Linked DNA regions of Arabidopsis thaliana. The protein of the gene in region 1 interacts with the protein of each later gene in a pairwise test. Each region holds a gene or a part of one and is shown in the gene's direction. Other genes may lie near its edges.

Evidence for each region. The genes of interacting proteins can lie anywhere in the genome.
Region 2: the proteins of FRS9 (region 1) and AT3G59470 interact in a two-hybrid assay, tested with the Arabidopsis thaliana proteins (one large-scale study listed by BioGRID).

What each region holds. Positions count from the first base shown.
Region 1 is NC_003075.7:17,900,988-17,908,647, forward strand, and holds FRS9 (FAR1-related sequence 9), read left to right. Parts: upstream 1-3,544; 5' UTR 3,545-3,625; coding exon 3,626-3,641; intron 3,642-3,749; coding exon 3,750-5,203; intron 5,204-5,284; coding exon 5,285-5,452; 3' UTR 5,453-5,714; downstream 5,715-7,660. Other genes in the region: AT4G38150 (Pentatricopeptide repeat (PPR) superfamily protein), read right to left, coding at 224-1,132; pde191 (Mitochondrial transcription termination factor family protein), read left to right, coding at 1,425-2,408, 2,690-2,733, 2,809-2,917; FRS5 (FAR1-related sequence 5), read right to left, coding at 5,715-5,888, 6,225-7,660. UniProt on the Arabidopsis thaliana protein: Putative transcription activator involved in regulating light control of development. May act as a negative regulator specific to phyB signaling.
Region 2 is NC_003074.8:21,976,263-21,983,415, reverse strand, and holds AT3G59470 (Far-red impaired responsive (FAR1) family protein), read left to right. Parts: upstream 1-2,576; 5' UTR 2,577-2,887; coding exon 2,888-2,888; exon of another isoform or gene 2,889-3,283; coding exon 3,284-3,873; intron 3,874-4,116; coding exon 4,117-4,317; 3' UTR 4,318-4,606; downstream 4,607-7,153. Other genes in the region: AT3G59480 (pfkB-like carbohydrate kinase family protein), read right to left, coding at 1-313; AT3G59460 (F-box/LRR protein), read right to left, coding at 5,233-5,262, 5,355-5,504, 5,892-5,903; AT3G59455 (Bifunctional inhibitor/lipid-transfer protein/seed storage 2S albumin superfamily protein), read right to left, coding at 6,286-6,576.

The sequences.
Region 1 (7,660 bases):
ACGCTATTCATTGAACTTGCAATCAATATTAGAATGCATGAAAACAGGGAACTACATCTACAACTACACATTTTTAAAGGACATAGGAAAAAAAAAAAAACTCGATACCTGACTCCAAGCAGAAAAAGGAAGACTCATATTGATTTTCACTTTCAAGGTTGTTATTACAAGTCAAGAAAACATCTTACTGAGACGGCATACTTAACAGCACTGCGTAAGTAAATCAGAAGGGTTTCTCGGTTGGTTTCTTCTTGAAGATGGCTTCCCAAGCCAAAGACGGAAATGGAGCCCTTTTATCCATGAACTCCTTGACAGCCTTAACATTAACGGCAAATCCTTTTTGGTTTAAGGTATCAATAGCGGACTGGGCTTGTTCAACCCCCTTTACTCTGCACAAGGCATCAACCAATTCAACGAAAGTGGGGACGTTAGGAGAGTGACCAGACTCAAGCATCTCACTACAGAAAGCAACAGCATCGTCAAGCATGTTGCAATTATACAATCCCTGAACCAACACACCGTAGCTGAAGGCATTAGGGGCAATCCCATTGTTCTGCATTTTCCTGAAAATCCTCTTAGCGTCTTCAATTTTATGAGCCTTGCAAAAGGCCTCAACGACAGCAGTGTAGATAACGACCTCAGGGATTGTACCCTTGTCACGCATCAATCCGAAAAGCTTCATGGCCTCTTGTACAAGCCCATCTTTGCAGAGGCCGTCAAGCATGGCGACGGCGTTAGGGATGAGACCTCCTTCCTTCATCTTCTTGAAGATCTCATCGGAATCCTCAGGCGGCGGTAAGGGCTCCTGCGGGTATTGTTCCGGTTTGGGGGTTTCCCGTGAATCCTGATTGACTCCAAGCTTGAACTGTTCGAGGAAGCCATCGTCAGACAGAGTAGTATCACTCTTTCCAAGGTTGTGGGCTTGTCTAGCGGGTGGTTCTCTGTGAGAGTTGGAAGATCTCTCCCCTCGCAAGGGTCTGTTGGGTAAGGGCTCTGGAGGGTTCTGCTGCTCGTCTACTTGACCATTGTCGCCCGTTGAGAGAAAGCGTGTTGCGGACATCGACGGCGTCGTAACACGAATCTGCTTCGCCATCTGCCTTGCAAAAACGACGGCTTTGGAGGAAGGCACCATCGTTATCTGCCGCTGATTCGAAAAGTTAGGGTTTTGCAGATTTTGACGGAGAGAGAAGAAGGGGAGGGTTTAGTCACGCGAGAAGGATTGAGGGATATAACAGTCATTTACTCTACAGGGGGTATAAGAAAGAAAGAAGGTCCTCACTCCTCCGTGTGGATAAGCTTCTCACTTTCAGTTCAATTGGATAGCCGGAAAGGCTCTCCTCCAAGGTAAATTCCTCTCTACTTCCTTGTTAAAGCTCGAATCATCTCTAAGTTAAGCAAAATTGGTGTGTTGTAGTGGCGTTTATATGGAGGTGACAAATACGAGCAGCATCATGTGGTTCTTCAGGGACAAAGGTTTCGATGATCCGAGTATCGACAAGATGTTGAGAAAATGCAAACAGTTGGAAAAGGCTCAAAGCGATGTGGCATCAGAAAACTGGGACTACCTGAGTAACATTGTTGGTATCCAAGAGAGAAAACTCCCTTACATCGTCTCTCGATGCCCCAAAATCCTGACTTTACGCCTCGATGAGAGACTCATCCCGATGGTCGAGTGCCTCTCCAGTCTTGGAAGGAATCCTCGGGAAGTTGCTTCCGCCATTACCAAATTTCCTCCAATACTCTCTCATAGCGTGGAGGAGAAACTCTGTCCCCTTCTTGCTTTCTTTCAAGCGTTAGGTGTGCCTGAGACTCAACTTGGCAAAATGATACTTTTTAACCCAAGGCTTATCAGCTACAGCATCGACACCAAGCTGACAGTGATCGTCAGCTTTCTTGCTAGCCTTGGCCTTGATCAAGATGGGATGATTGGCAAAGTTCTGGTGAAGAACCCATTTCTTATGGGGTACAGTGTTGATAAAAGGTTACGGCCTACCACTGAATTCTTGAAATCATCCGTTGGCCTGAGTGAGGATGGCATTAAGTCGGTGGTCATGAATTTCCCACAACTTTTGTGCAGAGACGTTAACAAGATTCTCAAACCAAATTATGATTATTTGAAGGAGTGTGGGTTTGGAGATTCCCAGATAGCAACCATGGTCACTGGTTATCCCCAAATCTTGATTAAGAGTGTTAAGAATTCACTACAGCCTAGGATCAGATTCCTCGTCCAGGTGATGGGAAGAGGCATGGATGAAGTGGCTTCTTATCCTGAATTCTTTCACCATGGATTGAAGAAGAAGGTCGAATCGAGGTTTAAACTTGTCAAAAAGAACAACATTGACTGCAGCCTTAGAGAAATGCTGGACTGTAACACAAAGAAATTCCATGAGAAGTTTGGCTTTTCGGAGGTAACTGCAAGCTTCTAGCTTTTATATCTCTCTCTAGTTTTTTCCTTCATCAGGCTCTCTCTGTAAGCTGTTTTCAGCTTGTGCACCAATTTCTAGCACGAGCTTTTCCTTGAGTGATTGTGATATCAATAGAGTGTTTTCTTCCAGATATCATCGATTATTCACTATGCATTCGTTTATCATGGATTCTACACTTCCTTTTGAAAATTACCTAATTATGATAGAACCACCACCATGGCCCGATCAAGTGCATATCCATAGAGTGGTTCCTGTGTTTTCAGGTATTCAACTGCAATCAAAATGGGATGTATATGTTGTTGGATAAGTCAGTGTCATTATTGGCTTGTGATTATTGCAGCAACCGACAAGCAAAAGAAGTGTCTGCTTAGCCTAACTGCAGAACAGAATATGCAGCAATGCAGTCTAGCTGCTTGTCGGAAGTATGGGTGGGTAAAAAGCCCCTAGTCATTCCACAAATATGGAGGCCCCTAGTCAAAGGTCACATTTGATGACAAAGAGATGGTTGATCGTTCTCTGCCTATATAGTATGTACCTGTCATATAAAAATGAAACCCCCTCTGCTCTCTCTTTTGGATGAGATCAACCGTATTTTAAACCGGCCAAACTTGAAAGTTTTTTTTTGCTTCAAATGCTCTTTCAAGTAGAGTCCCTTTTGTTATTCACGTTTTGTAGCTATTCTATTCTCTCTCCTTGGACTGGTGTTTTTGTTCTTCGGTTTTTCCGATCAAAGTTGAATCAAGAAGAAGTTCGCTGTTTCTTGTGGTTGCTTGTTGGGCTTCTGTGCCTTTTTGATTTTTTCTATTTTGGGCCTGTGTGCCATGTTTTCGGCATTTCTGCTTTGTTGGGCCTACGTGCCTTTTCGAGCCTTGTAGTTTTCTTTGTTTAAAGCACTCAATAATTGTTTGTTGACGGACCAAAAAACTCAAATAGGCCCGACTTAATTTATTATTTTAAGGGCCCAAAATTAAGGACTAGGCCTGCCTACCAGTCCCAACTCGCAACATTGGTTATGGTAAACTAACAGCTTGCCGTTTTATGTTATAAAAACGGCAGGAGAGTGTAGGCTTAGATAGACAAACCCGTCACCGAGTTCGGTTGGATCCAACAGCAAACCTTAAAGCGTACTCCGTCCGGTCGCGGAAGCCATTGATTCAGTTACAGTTACAAGTTTAGGGTTTTAAAGCCATATCTTGCGAATGGCTATAATCGCAGGTAATCATCTCTAAAATTCTCTCTGCAGTTTGTCTTTCCCGAATTGATAAGTCAGTCGCTTCTGCAACTGTGTTCCTTCTGATACCCAAAACTTTCCATTTGGGATAGTGGCAGAATTAGTGGAAGAAGTAAGCATGAGCAGGGTCGAGCATGTATTGAACTATCTGAAACGTAGGCAGCTCGAGAATCCTGGTTTCTTATATGCAATTGAGGACGATTGTGGGAATGTTTTCTGGGCGGATCCAACTTGCAGGTTGAATTACACCTACTTTGGTGATACCCTAGTCTTTGACACCACCTATAGGAGGGGTAAGAGGTATCAAGTGCCATTTGCTGCCTTCACCGGGTTCAACCATCATGGGCAGCCTGTTCTTTTTGGTTGTGCTCTCATACTCAACGAGTCTGAGTCCTCCTTTGCGTGGCTTTTCCAAACTTGGCTTCAAGCAATGTCTGCTCCCCCTCCTCCTTCTATTACAGTTGAACCAGATCGCCTGATACAGGTTGCTGTTTCTCGAGTTTTCAGTCAAACCCGCCTTCGTTTCAGCCAGCCCCTCATCTTCGAGGAAACTGAGGAGAAACTTGCTCACGTCTTTCAGGCTCATCCTACCTTTGAATCCGAATTTATAAATTGCGTTACTGAGACAGAAACGGCTGCCGAGTTTGAGGCATCTTGGGACTCTATCGTCAGGAGATATTATATGGAGGATAACGACTGGCTCCAGTCCATTTATAATGCTAGACAACAGTGGGTCCGTGTTTTCATCCGAGACACCTTTTATGGAGAGCTGTCTACAAATGAAGGAAGCAGCATTTTGAACTCATTCTTCCAAGGGTTTGTGGATGCATCAACTACAATGCAAATGCTCATAAAACAGTATGAGAAAGCAATTGATAGTTGGCGTGAGAAAGAACTGAAAGCAGATTACGAAGCAACTAACTCTACTCCAGTTATGAAGACGCCCTCTCCCATGGAAAAGCAAGCTGCTAGCCTCTATACAAGGGCAGCATTCATCAAGTTTCAGGAGGAGTTTGTTGAGACCCTTGCAATTCCTGCAAATATAATTAGTGATTCAGGAACTCACACTACTTATCGTGTCGCTAAGTTCGGAGAAGTTCACAAAGGTCATACTGTCAGTTTTGACTCTCTTGAGGTGAAAGCTAATTGCAGCTGTCAAATGTTTGAGTATTCAGGGATTATATGTAGACACATATTGGCGGTGTTCAGTGCCAAAAATGTTCTTGCTCTTCCATCTCGGTATCTACTGAGGCGATGGACCAAAGAAGCAAAGATTAGAGGCACTGAGGAACAACCTGAGTTTTCAAATGGCTGTCAAGAATCTTTAAATCTCTGCTTCAACAGTCTACGCCAAGAAGCAACCAAGTATGTCGAGGAAGGTGCCAAATCTATTCAGATCTATAAAGTTGCAATGGATGCTTTGGATGAAGCTGCCAAGAAGGTTGCTGCTGCAAGTAACAGAACACCTGGAACTAGGCTTCCCAATGGGGAAGCTTACCCGTCCGAGGAAGCTCGAGAAACAGCAAATGCAACGAATCATCCAGGGGTAAGCGAATACTGGTATTTGATAATTCTTTAACATTGATGTCCTCTGTTCCTTGGGAATAAGTACTTACTTCAATGCCAGGGTGAAAAAGAGAGGACGATACTTGAACTGACAGCTGAGTTGGAGAGGACAGGCCAGCGATGTGAAGTTTATCGAGCAAACCTGCTGTCTATTTTGAGAGATATGGAAGAACAGAAGTTTCAGCTATCCCTCAAGGTACAAAATGCTAGACTAAGCTTGAAAGAGTGAGTGCAATCTGCTGGATACATAACATCACAATTCAACTCACGTACTGTGGTTGGTAACTTGGTATGCAAACATTTATGGGAATCAACTTCATGCTCTTACTCAGTAAGGAAATGATTGGGAGTACAATCTATTACAAAGGCTACCTACTGTAAGAACAGGGAAATCCTGAAAATTGGGTCCCTCTTTCAAAAACCCTATAAGAGATATAGTACATGAGCAATATGTTATAGATGAGAATAGCAGTCGGAATTTGTTGCTTGTTTCACAGATTATCCTTCAAGCTAATTTTGATGTTCTGCACTTTGATGGACACTTGTAACTTTTGGTCTTCCATTTCTTTCAAAACTGAAAGTAGGTTAGTCCTGTAAGCTTCGCATTTCCTGTTTGCTAATTCCAGCTCGTTTCTGAGCTGATTAATCTTCTTGTCCATTTCGTCCTGCGAAAGTAGAGGAAATACGGTCATGCAATTAGTCAGCAGTAAAAGCACATAGCAAAATTGAGGACCTTGCAGATTGTACGGAACAAAGGCTCACAATGGCAAAATGAAGACCATACTCTTAACATGCATATGTGAATCACGAGCTCATTAGTCAAACGTTAACAGAGCAATCAGCATTATGGTACCGTCAAGGAGACAAAGCAATGATTGTATTGTATGGGGCAAACCCGCACAAACGATACTTCAAACGTATATAACTATTTTTTAGAGCAACAAATTTGATTGCTATTATATCAAAAAGAAAACAAGTATCGAAAAGAAAATGATCCTCACCTCGGGCTCAGGTTGCGCCAGCACTTCTTGCTGATGTTTTCCACCAGTTACAGAACTCGCTTTAAAATGCCTGTTCGCCATAGTTCTTCTAACTTCCTTATTCATTGCCAGGGACACAGTCTTGGCAGCTTCTTGCAGAGCAACAACTGCGACATCACAAGTATACAGAGATTTTCCAGCTTCTTGCACAAAATTAGAAGCTTTGTGACGTAAGGTGTTGTATCGGACGGTATGAGACTCCAGGTAATTAGCATACGCATGCAAATTATAATCATCAAATATAACACTGCTTTTGGCATTTCTGGTCCATCTTTTTAGGATGTAGTAAGGTGGAAGTGTAAGGAGATTGGTGACCCGGAAGACTGCCAATATATGTCTGCAAATGATGCCAGAGAACTCAAACATCTGGCAACTGCAATTTGCTCTCATCTCCAAAACGTTGAACTTAACGAAATGAGCCTTGTGAGCCTCTCCATATTTCGCAACCTGGTAGGTAACAAGATCCCCATCATCGTCAGCTTTGGATGCCATGAAAGTCAGGGTTCCAACTAGTTCTTCCTGAAATCTCATAAACAACTTCCTTGTGTAAAGTTCAGACGCCTGCTTCTCCATTGGAGATGGAGTCTTCAGAACAGGAGGTGAGTTCATTGTGTCATAATCTGCTTTAACTTCTTTCTCGAGACGACTCTCCAAAGCTTTTTCATACAGCTTAAAGAACTGGCTTAGATTGGTTGAAGCGTTTATATAACCATCAAAATATGAATTGATACTATCACTACGATGAGTTAAGGACATGTCGGCAAAAAAGGTATCACGGAGATATACTGGGACCCACTGCCGGCGATCGGAGTATATTGCTTGTAGCCACTCATGATCTCTTAGCTCATACTTGTCAAGAAGTGAAAACCAGCATCTCTCAAAATCCTCAACCGACTCTGTCAGATTGACACATTTGTGGAAATCTGACTCAAACGAAGGATGCTTGAGGAAGACATGCGACAGCTTCTCCTGACATTTCTTTAAAATATGCCATTTGCAAAAGCGATGGCGGGCACCAGGAAAAACGTGCATGATGGCTGCACGTATAACAGCATCATGATCGGTGGTGATTGAGACAGGAGGGTGGGCGGACATTGCGGCTAGCCACGTATTGAAAAGCCATACAAATGAAGCCTCAGTTTCATTGATGATAAAGGCACAGCCGAAAAGAATGGGTTGGCCATGGTGATTTACACCAGTGAAGGGTGCGAAAGGCAAACGGTACCTGTTGGACCTGTAGGTTGTATCAAATGTAACGGTGTCTCCAAAGTGAGTGAAATCCATTATAGCTTTAGGATCAGCCCAGAAGACATTACCAACAGACTGATCTTCGCTTCCCTGAACAGAATAAAAGAAGTTTGGGTTGTCAGCATTCATCTGCCTCAAGTAGTCAAGAA
Region 2 (7,153 bases), on another chromosome or scaffold:
CAGATCTTAGTGTCACGAACGCAAGTGCAGTCCTGGCTCCAGTGTCGAAATTGATACCTTCAGCAGAGACACCGTTCTGTTTCAAGATTCCGGCGAGCATGTGACCGAACTCGTCGTCACCGAGTTTTCCAACGAAAGCGGCACGACCGCCTAGACGGGAAATGGCGATGGCAACGTTGGCAGGTGCACCACCGGGGGCTTTGATGAAGCCAGGAGCATCGGCGAGGGATACACCGGAGACGGTTGGGACGAAATCGATGAGCATTTCACCGAAGCTCACGATCAAGCTTTTCTCGCCGTTAGATGCAGCCATTTTTAGTCGGAGTGTTTTGATCGGACGATTAAGATTGAGCAAAATAGAGAGAGATAGAGAGAGATTATGTTTTGGATATAATGAGAGGTATTAGAGAGAATCAAGGGTTTATATAGAGGTATTAGGGTGAGTGGTTTAGTCAAATCCACAAGACTTTTAATTAATACAAATTCAAATTTATCCATTTAAAGATTGATCAGATAAGATATCTAAACTGTGTTTGGTAACTTATTTTTTAATCGTAATATTCTATTGGTTGTTTACATATATGTTATGATTTGGTGAGATTTAGAGTAAATAGTGATTAATGTTTTTGACCAGATTTTATGCTTCTTCAATGGGACCTAGACGACGTATTTCACAAGGTTAATTTATTAGGGGCTTATCCGTTGTTAAGATAGTACTATTAAGGGGAGTAAAAGATACTATTAATCCTCCTCTTTTGACTCCGAATATTTTGTTTGTTTTGGATAACTTTCTTTTTCAATAAAATACCATTCATGGATAATTTTTTAGGCAAATCTACCAAAATCGAAATGTATTAATGAATGATTTGTTATAATTTAATTTCGCAAGGTTAATTACGAGGGGCTTATATCCGTTGTTGGATAAATATGTTAATATCCTCCTCTAATTTCGATTATCTCATTTGTTAGGATAACTTTTATTTCCGATTACACAAGATATTATCTCATGTAAATCTACTAAATCGAGAAATGCAAATCTGTTACAAATTTTATAAACGGGGCTAGCTTTGACATGTATGATCTTTTTATTTATCAGAGACTATCTACCAAGTACCAACACTATTTGGTTTCCTATTTCCCAAGTTATATTTTATGCATCAGTTATCACTACTAACTAACGACTATCCTTCTTCTTAGACGTTTTATTCCACGTAATTAAAGCGATTTATTGATTTCCAAAAAAAAAAAAAAAAGTGAAGAGAATTTTTAATAAATGCTAAATAAAATGGATATTTTAAAACGCAACGAAAGAAAACCATATGTTACAGATCTTTTTTTTTGGATTACTGATTCATATATATGTGGATGATTTATAATGTCTATAAAAATCTAGAGTTGCGAATTATCTAGGCATGACCAAAATCTAACTGTAACTGTATTTCGGACCGTAATCGGACCGTTTATTAACCGTAACCCAACCGTAACCGTATAAAACGGTTAATAACCGTAACTGTTAACCGTGAAAATAGATTCATTACGGTTAAAAAAATATAATAACCGTAACCGTATCAAAACCGTTGGTTAACCGTACGTTTAACCGCGCGGTTAACCGTATTATTAAAACCTTAAAAATATAGTTGTAACTGTGTATAATTCTAAATAAATAATTATTTTACTAAAATAGTAACTTAAATCGTTTAATATGCCCACTAATACGATCGAAGTTACTCCACTACTCTTTTTACCATAAATCAAATCATAAGTAGTTCATATTATTATTATTTATACTCTAAAAACTGTTTCTTAGTGCTCATAACATCTTTTCTTTATTATTGTTTTTGTTTGAAAAATATAATTAATTAAATCATTATAATTATAACCATTAATTTGTATATTCATTGGTTTATTTAAAAAAAATAGATAGCTGATTCGCTATAAATATTTGAAACACATAATCACGTAAAATAATTATTATTTGATATATCACTATTTATTTATTTATTTTATTATAAAGATTAATATAATATTTTGTCTCATATATTAATTATATCATAATTATCAAATAACCGTAACCGTATCTAACCATAACCGTATTTAACCGTAACCGTTTTAACCGTATATATAACGGTTAATGTTAAGGTTAAAAAAAGTTATAATCATATACGGTGGTTAATAAACCGTAACCGTAATAACCGTAACCGTGGTCATGCCTAAAACTATCTGGATAGGTTTCGATGATAACAGTGATATAAGCTAAATCATGAAATATAAGTAACTGAATATATTACTATGTAATAAGTTTTTTGCTATTCAAAATTTCTATGATTAAAAAAACTTAGCTAATGTAGTTTGGTAGTCAAATCGTATACTAAACCATCATTAGCTGGTTATCAATAGCATTTTAAAGAAAGTTAATTAAACCGGCTGAATTGGCCTGGTTGACACGAACAAAATGAATGCTAGAAATTAGAGAAATTTTGTTAGTACAAGGATGATTATGTAAATGAAGGATAATAAAGGGGTCAATTTTAACATTTATTAAAAGTCATGGACACACCGGTCTAACGGGTGCGTCGGTCGGCGAGAATTACGCTGTAAAAAATAAAATAAAATAAACATGTAATGAAAGAAAAAAAAAGAACATGAGGAATAATCATACGAGGCGAAGCGCACCGGAGGAACCATAAGTCGATAAACCCAAAGCTTAGATGAACGGTGAGTTGACTTCTTTCCGATTTTGACCCAATCATCTATCGCCACGTCATAGGGTACTGCGTCCTCTGCAATCCATACCCTGAACCGGCACCTTCTCTGTCTCTCCCCCAAATCGAAAACCTAATTCGATCGTCGTCTCCGACCTACATCTGCCGGAAAATATCTTTTGACCAGTAAGATTGTTTTATTCCTTACACCATTATTTCGGGTTTTTAATTTTCGATTTTGGATTGATCGATTAAGCCACTTAGACTAGTCCCTGCGAAAGAATGAGACTGAGAAGTTGGACATCTCGATACTTTTGGAAACCCCGATTTGTTGATGACTCTTGAATCTATGGGACGGTGAATCCCAAAGAATGGTTCCATTTTAAGTTTGTTTTGTATTGTTGGTGGAGGCTGGATGATTTTGAGAGCACTTGTACTTGAGCTTTGTTCTCATATCTTGAATTAGACAGTGGAATAGAAAAGATGACAACTTTGTATTAGTAAGATGATGAACACTTGTAGCTCTTCTTGCTAGATATTTGATTAGTGGAATTGCTGTTTTCCCTTTTTTTGAGTTGCAGTGGATTTCAGGATTGATAATGGAGTAGCTGCTGGGATGATGATGGGGATTCCTGTTGAGCTTGAGGTTACCACGGTTGAGAATCATAATGAAATGGGTGAAAGCTCTGGTCAAGCAATGATTGAGCAAGATGATGACAACCATAATGAACTCGGTGAAAATTCTGGTGAGCAAGATGAGAAGGTGGATCTTGATTCTATTCCTCTGGCTGTTGCAGATATGACAGAGGCTCAAGGAGATGAGCCTTACGTTGGCCAGGAGTTCGAATCTGAAGCAGCGGCTCATGGTTTTTATAATGCGTATGCTACTAAAGTAGGGTTCGTCATCCGTGTTAGTAAACTGTCACGGTCAAGGCATGATGGATCTCCCATAGGCAGGCAACTTGTTTGTAACAAGGAAGGTTACAGGTTGCCTAGCAAGCGGGATAAGGTTATTAGACAAAGAGCGGAAACAAGGGTTGGATGTAAAGCAATGATCTTGATTAGAAAAGAGAACTCTGGTAAATGGGTTATCACAAAGTTTGTCAAGGAGCACAATCACTCTTTGATGCCTGGCAGAGTTCGAAGGGGTTGCATTTATGATCAATATCCGGTTAGTTGTTACTCTCTTTCGTTGGTCAATATTTCTTTATATTCAGCCATTGCATTTGAAAATCCAAATTGGCGTTTCTTGGTTAGCTGGTTAATATATATATATATGCTGATGTGATACTGGTTCGTGACTAGTTGCTATATAGCATATTCATATTCATGTGCTGGTGTTTTGATTTTGCTTATATATCAGTTGTTACTAGAAAAGACTTAAATTCTAAAACTTTGCTCTCCTCATTTGCAGAACGAACACGACAAAATTCAGGAACTGATGCAGCAGCTAGCAGCAGAGAAAAAGAGAGCGGCTACTTACAAAAGACATCTGGAGATGCTATTTGAACAGATCGAACAGCACAACGAAAGCCTTTCTAAGAGAATCCAACACATAGTAGACAATGTGAGGAATCTGGAACAGAGAGATCATCAACAGAACCACCAAGTATAGTCTTTTGGTCTCTGGTTTTTCAGCACTTTGATTTAGGAGATAGATCTTCTCTTCCCCCATTTTCTCTCTTTAATAAAGATTTTTCTTGTCGAAAACAAAAGAGCTTCAATTGCCTTAAAGAAAGTTTTGTTTATTCTTCTTCTTCTTCTGTTCTGACATTGGTTTCGTTCGGATGATGCATAGCCATAGGTTAGTGCACATAAAGTGAAGGGTTTTTACTTTTTACGCTCTAATTAAATCGGCATTCTCCTGAAGATCTTTCTGCTGGTAAAAACTAGTAAGCTATATATACTACAGATTGGAAGAATCCTAAAACTCTATTTAAGATCACAAATCAGAAAGTGAAGAATCAAATCAGCTTGTTAATCACCACCTTTCATCGTCTAAGATGTTGCACTTGGATGAAACTGAAAATCCAAGCTAATGGACCACATATTGTGTAAAGTCTGCAAGAGTGGAAAGAAGTGTGAAATTGCATTGTAGGGACGATGTAGTCATCAAATACAGAAATGTTAATCTTATGCCAGGTGGAGTTTGACGAGGTAGGTAAGGTTACTCGTGTATCATCTAAGGGAGAGACTGCCAAAAGATACAGAAAAATAGCTCCCTGAAATTAAAGAGGCCCTTGCAACTGCAAGAGCAATGCGACATGTACATGAATTGTTACACAGAATAATTTGGTAAACTACATGAGATCTTGCATTTGGATGAAACCGAAAATCCAGGAAGCCTCAACTATAGACTATAGAACCCTTTTGGTTTGCAATACATGGTATTATCCACCACAGCTTCCGCAGCCTAGCACCACTTCACCGCATTCCGACTCCCCAATAAATTTATGTAAGCGTTCCACCTCTTCCGCATTTCCTCCATAACCATGAACATGCAGCATCTTCACTTGGAACGGAGGCATGGTCACATCGCCTGTGTAACTCTATCCAGCCCCTGGAAAAGCATCAAGAAGATGGATGTAAAGGCTCAACCACTAAGTCCCTAATCTCTGACTCTCTTTAGATATATTAGCTAATGATACGTACCTGGATGATTAGAGTTTCAAGCTTTGGAGACTGCTCAATCAGAAGTGGCAGCAGTTTCCAACCTCTTTTGTTCGTACTCCCAAAAGACAAGCTTACCAGATTGTTGAACACCGGTAGAAGTAGTCCACGTCTAACACAGCGAAGAATCACCTGAAACACAAACACACGCTCTTAGTGAATGTCCATGCAAAGAAAGAAAGTGGCAAACGTAAAGAAAATACGCTCATAATTAAGTATAGTAAACCGTTTTTCTTCGCTATATTAAGTTTTCAAACCCTAACATCATCAACTAATTATAGGATAATTAGGAAACAAAACTTTTTTTGGGGGATTTAAGGAAGTTCGTAACGACAACGTTATAAAGGGAAAACGATAATTTCTTGTGTCGTCATAACAATCGCGACATGTGAACTAATTAAACTTGTTATAAATACATTTGAAAGAGTCGGGGACCACACCCTTTAATAAACTCACAAACACGAGAATGGACGCCTGAGAGTTCTAGATAGTAGATACCATCTTTTCCCTTCTTGATACCATCTTGGCCATGTTTGTGTGACAGTTAATTATGAAGTGAAATCACAAGAATAGTCCCAAGGGCCAAGGATGTATGCATAATTAACGCGTACATGCCGTTTTCTCTAGTTTAGACTACTTTTTTTTTGTTTCTTTAAATAGAAGTAGACTACTTTTTTATTTCTTTAAATAAAAGCAAGTACAAAGTATCGAATTTGAAAGAGTGAAATAGTAATTCCAAAAAGCAAGAAAAACGTGGAATGTGGGAGAGATGGTTCATAAATATAATGAAGGCCAATTAGAGCAACAACTTATACGATTAAAAAAAGACAAGGAAAGACTTGATTAACTAATCTTATTAAGTATCTCCGGTTCGGCTTGACGACCGCTTATTGCTTTTGTTGGTTGACTATTTTTAGCCACACTTGAAATAGGACTTGAGACTTTGATTTAGAGGAACAGTCTTTCCACAAGAAGCCATAAGACGATAAGCTTCTTTCCATTGTACAGGATCTTTAATATACTTACACATACATGGTCCTGGTATTATTAGTCTATCACAACACTTCAACCACGTGGGTCTATCGTTCAACTTCAAATGTTGCATGCATAAATGAAGTGACTCTTTGCAATAAGAGAGCGTTGGAGTGGGGAATGATGTCAAGAGTACAACCAAGGCGATGAACATCAATGAAATGTTCTTCATTTTCTGATAACTTAGTATCTAATGTTGTATATATGTTTCTAGGTCTTTAAATAGAAAACTGAAATCAGAAACATGTGGCAATAATGAGAAGTGGTGATATTCTATTTTTACAAAGCAATTAGTATTCAAAACAAACCATTGAATAGTTCAAAAGGCCGATTCCATAGGAAGTGGAGATAAGAGCACTTTATTTGGTATTTTATTGCCTAATGCGAAATGCAAGCATCTTGATTCGCTAAGCCATTTAAAAATGATTGAACGTAATGCAAAAAAAAAAACGAATGTAGAAATTGACCAAAATTGTTTTCAAAAAACTTCGAGTGTTTGGTCGAACCATATAAATTGTCCCTTTATTTATTAGGCTCAAGTTAGTGACATTTATATATACTAGATTGTTTGTTGTTTTGGTAGGAGAAAAAAAACAAAACAAGCACCATGTTCTTGTATTCTCATTCACTATGTTAGAAAAGACATTGAAAATTTGCTGATCGCAGTAGTATGAATGAAGATTAAGCATTATTGGATGAATTAATCAGACAAAAATGGGGAAGTCTGTCTCATCAAAGGCAACGTTGTC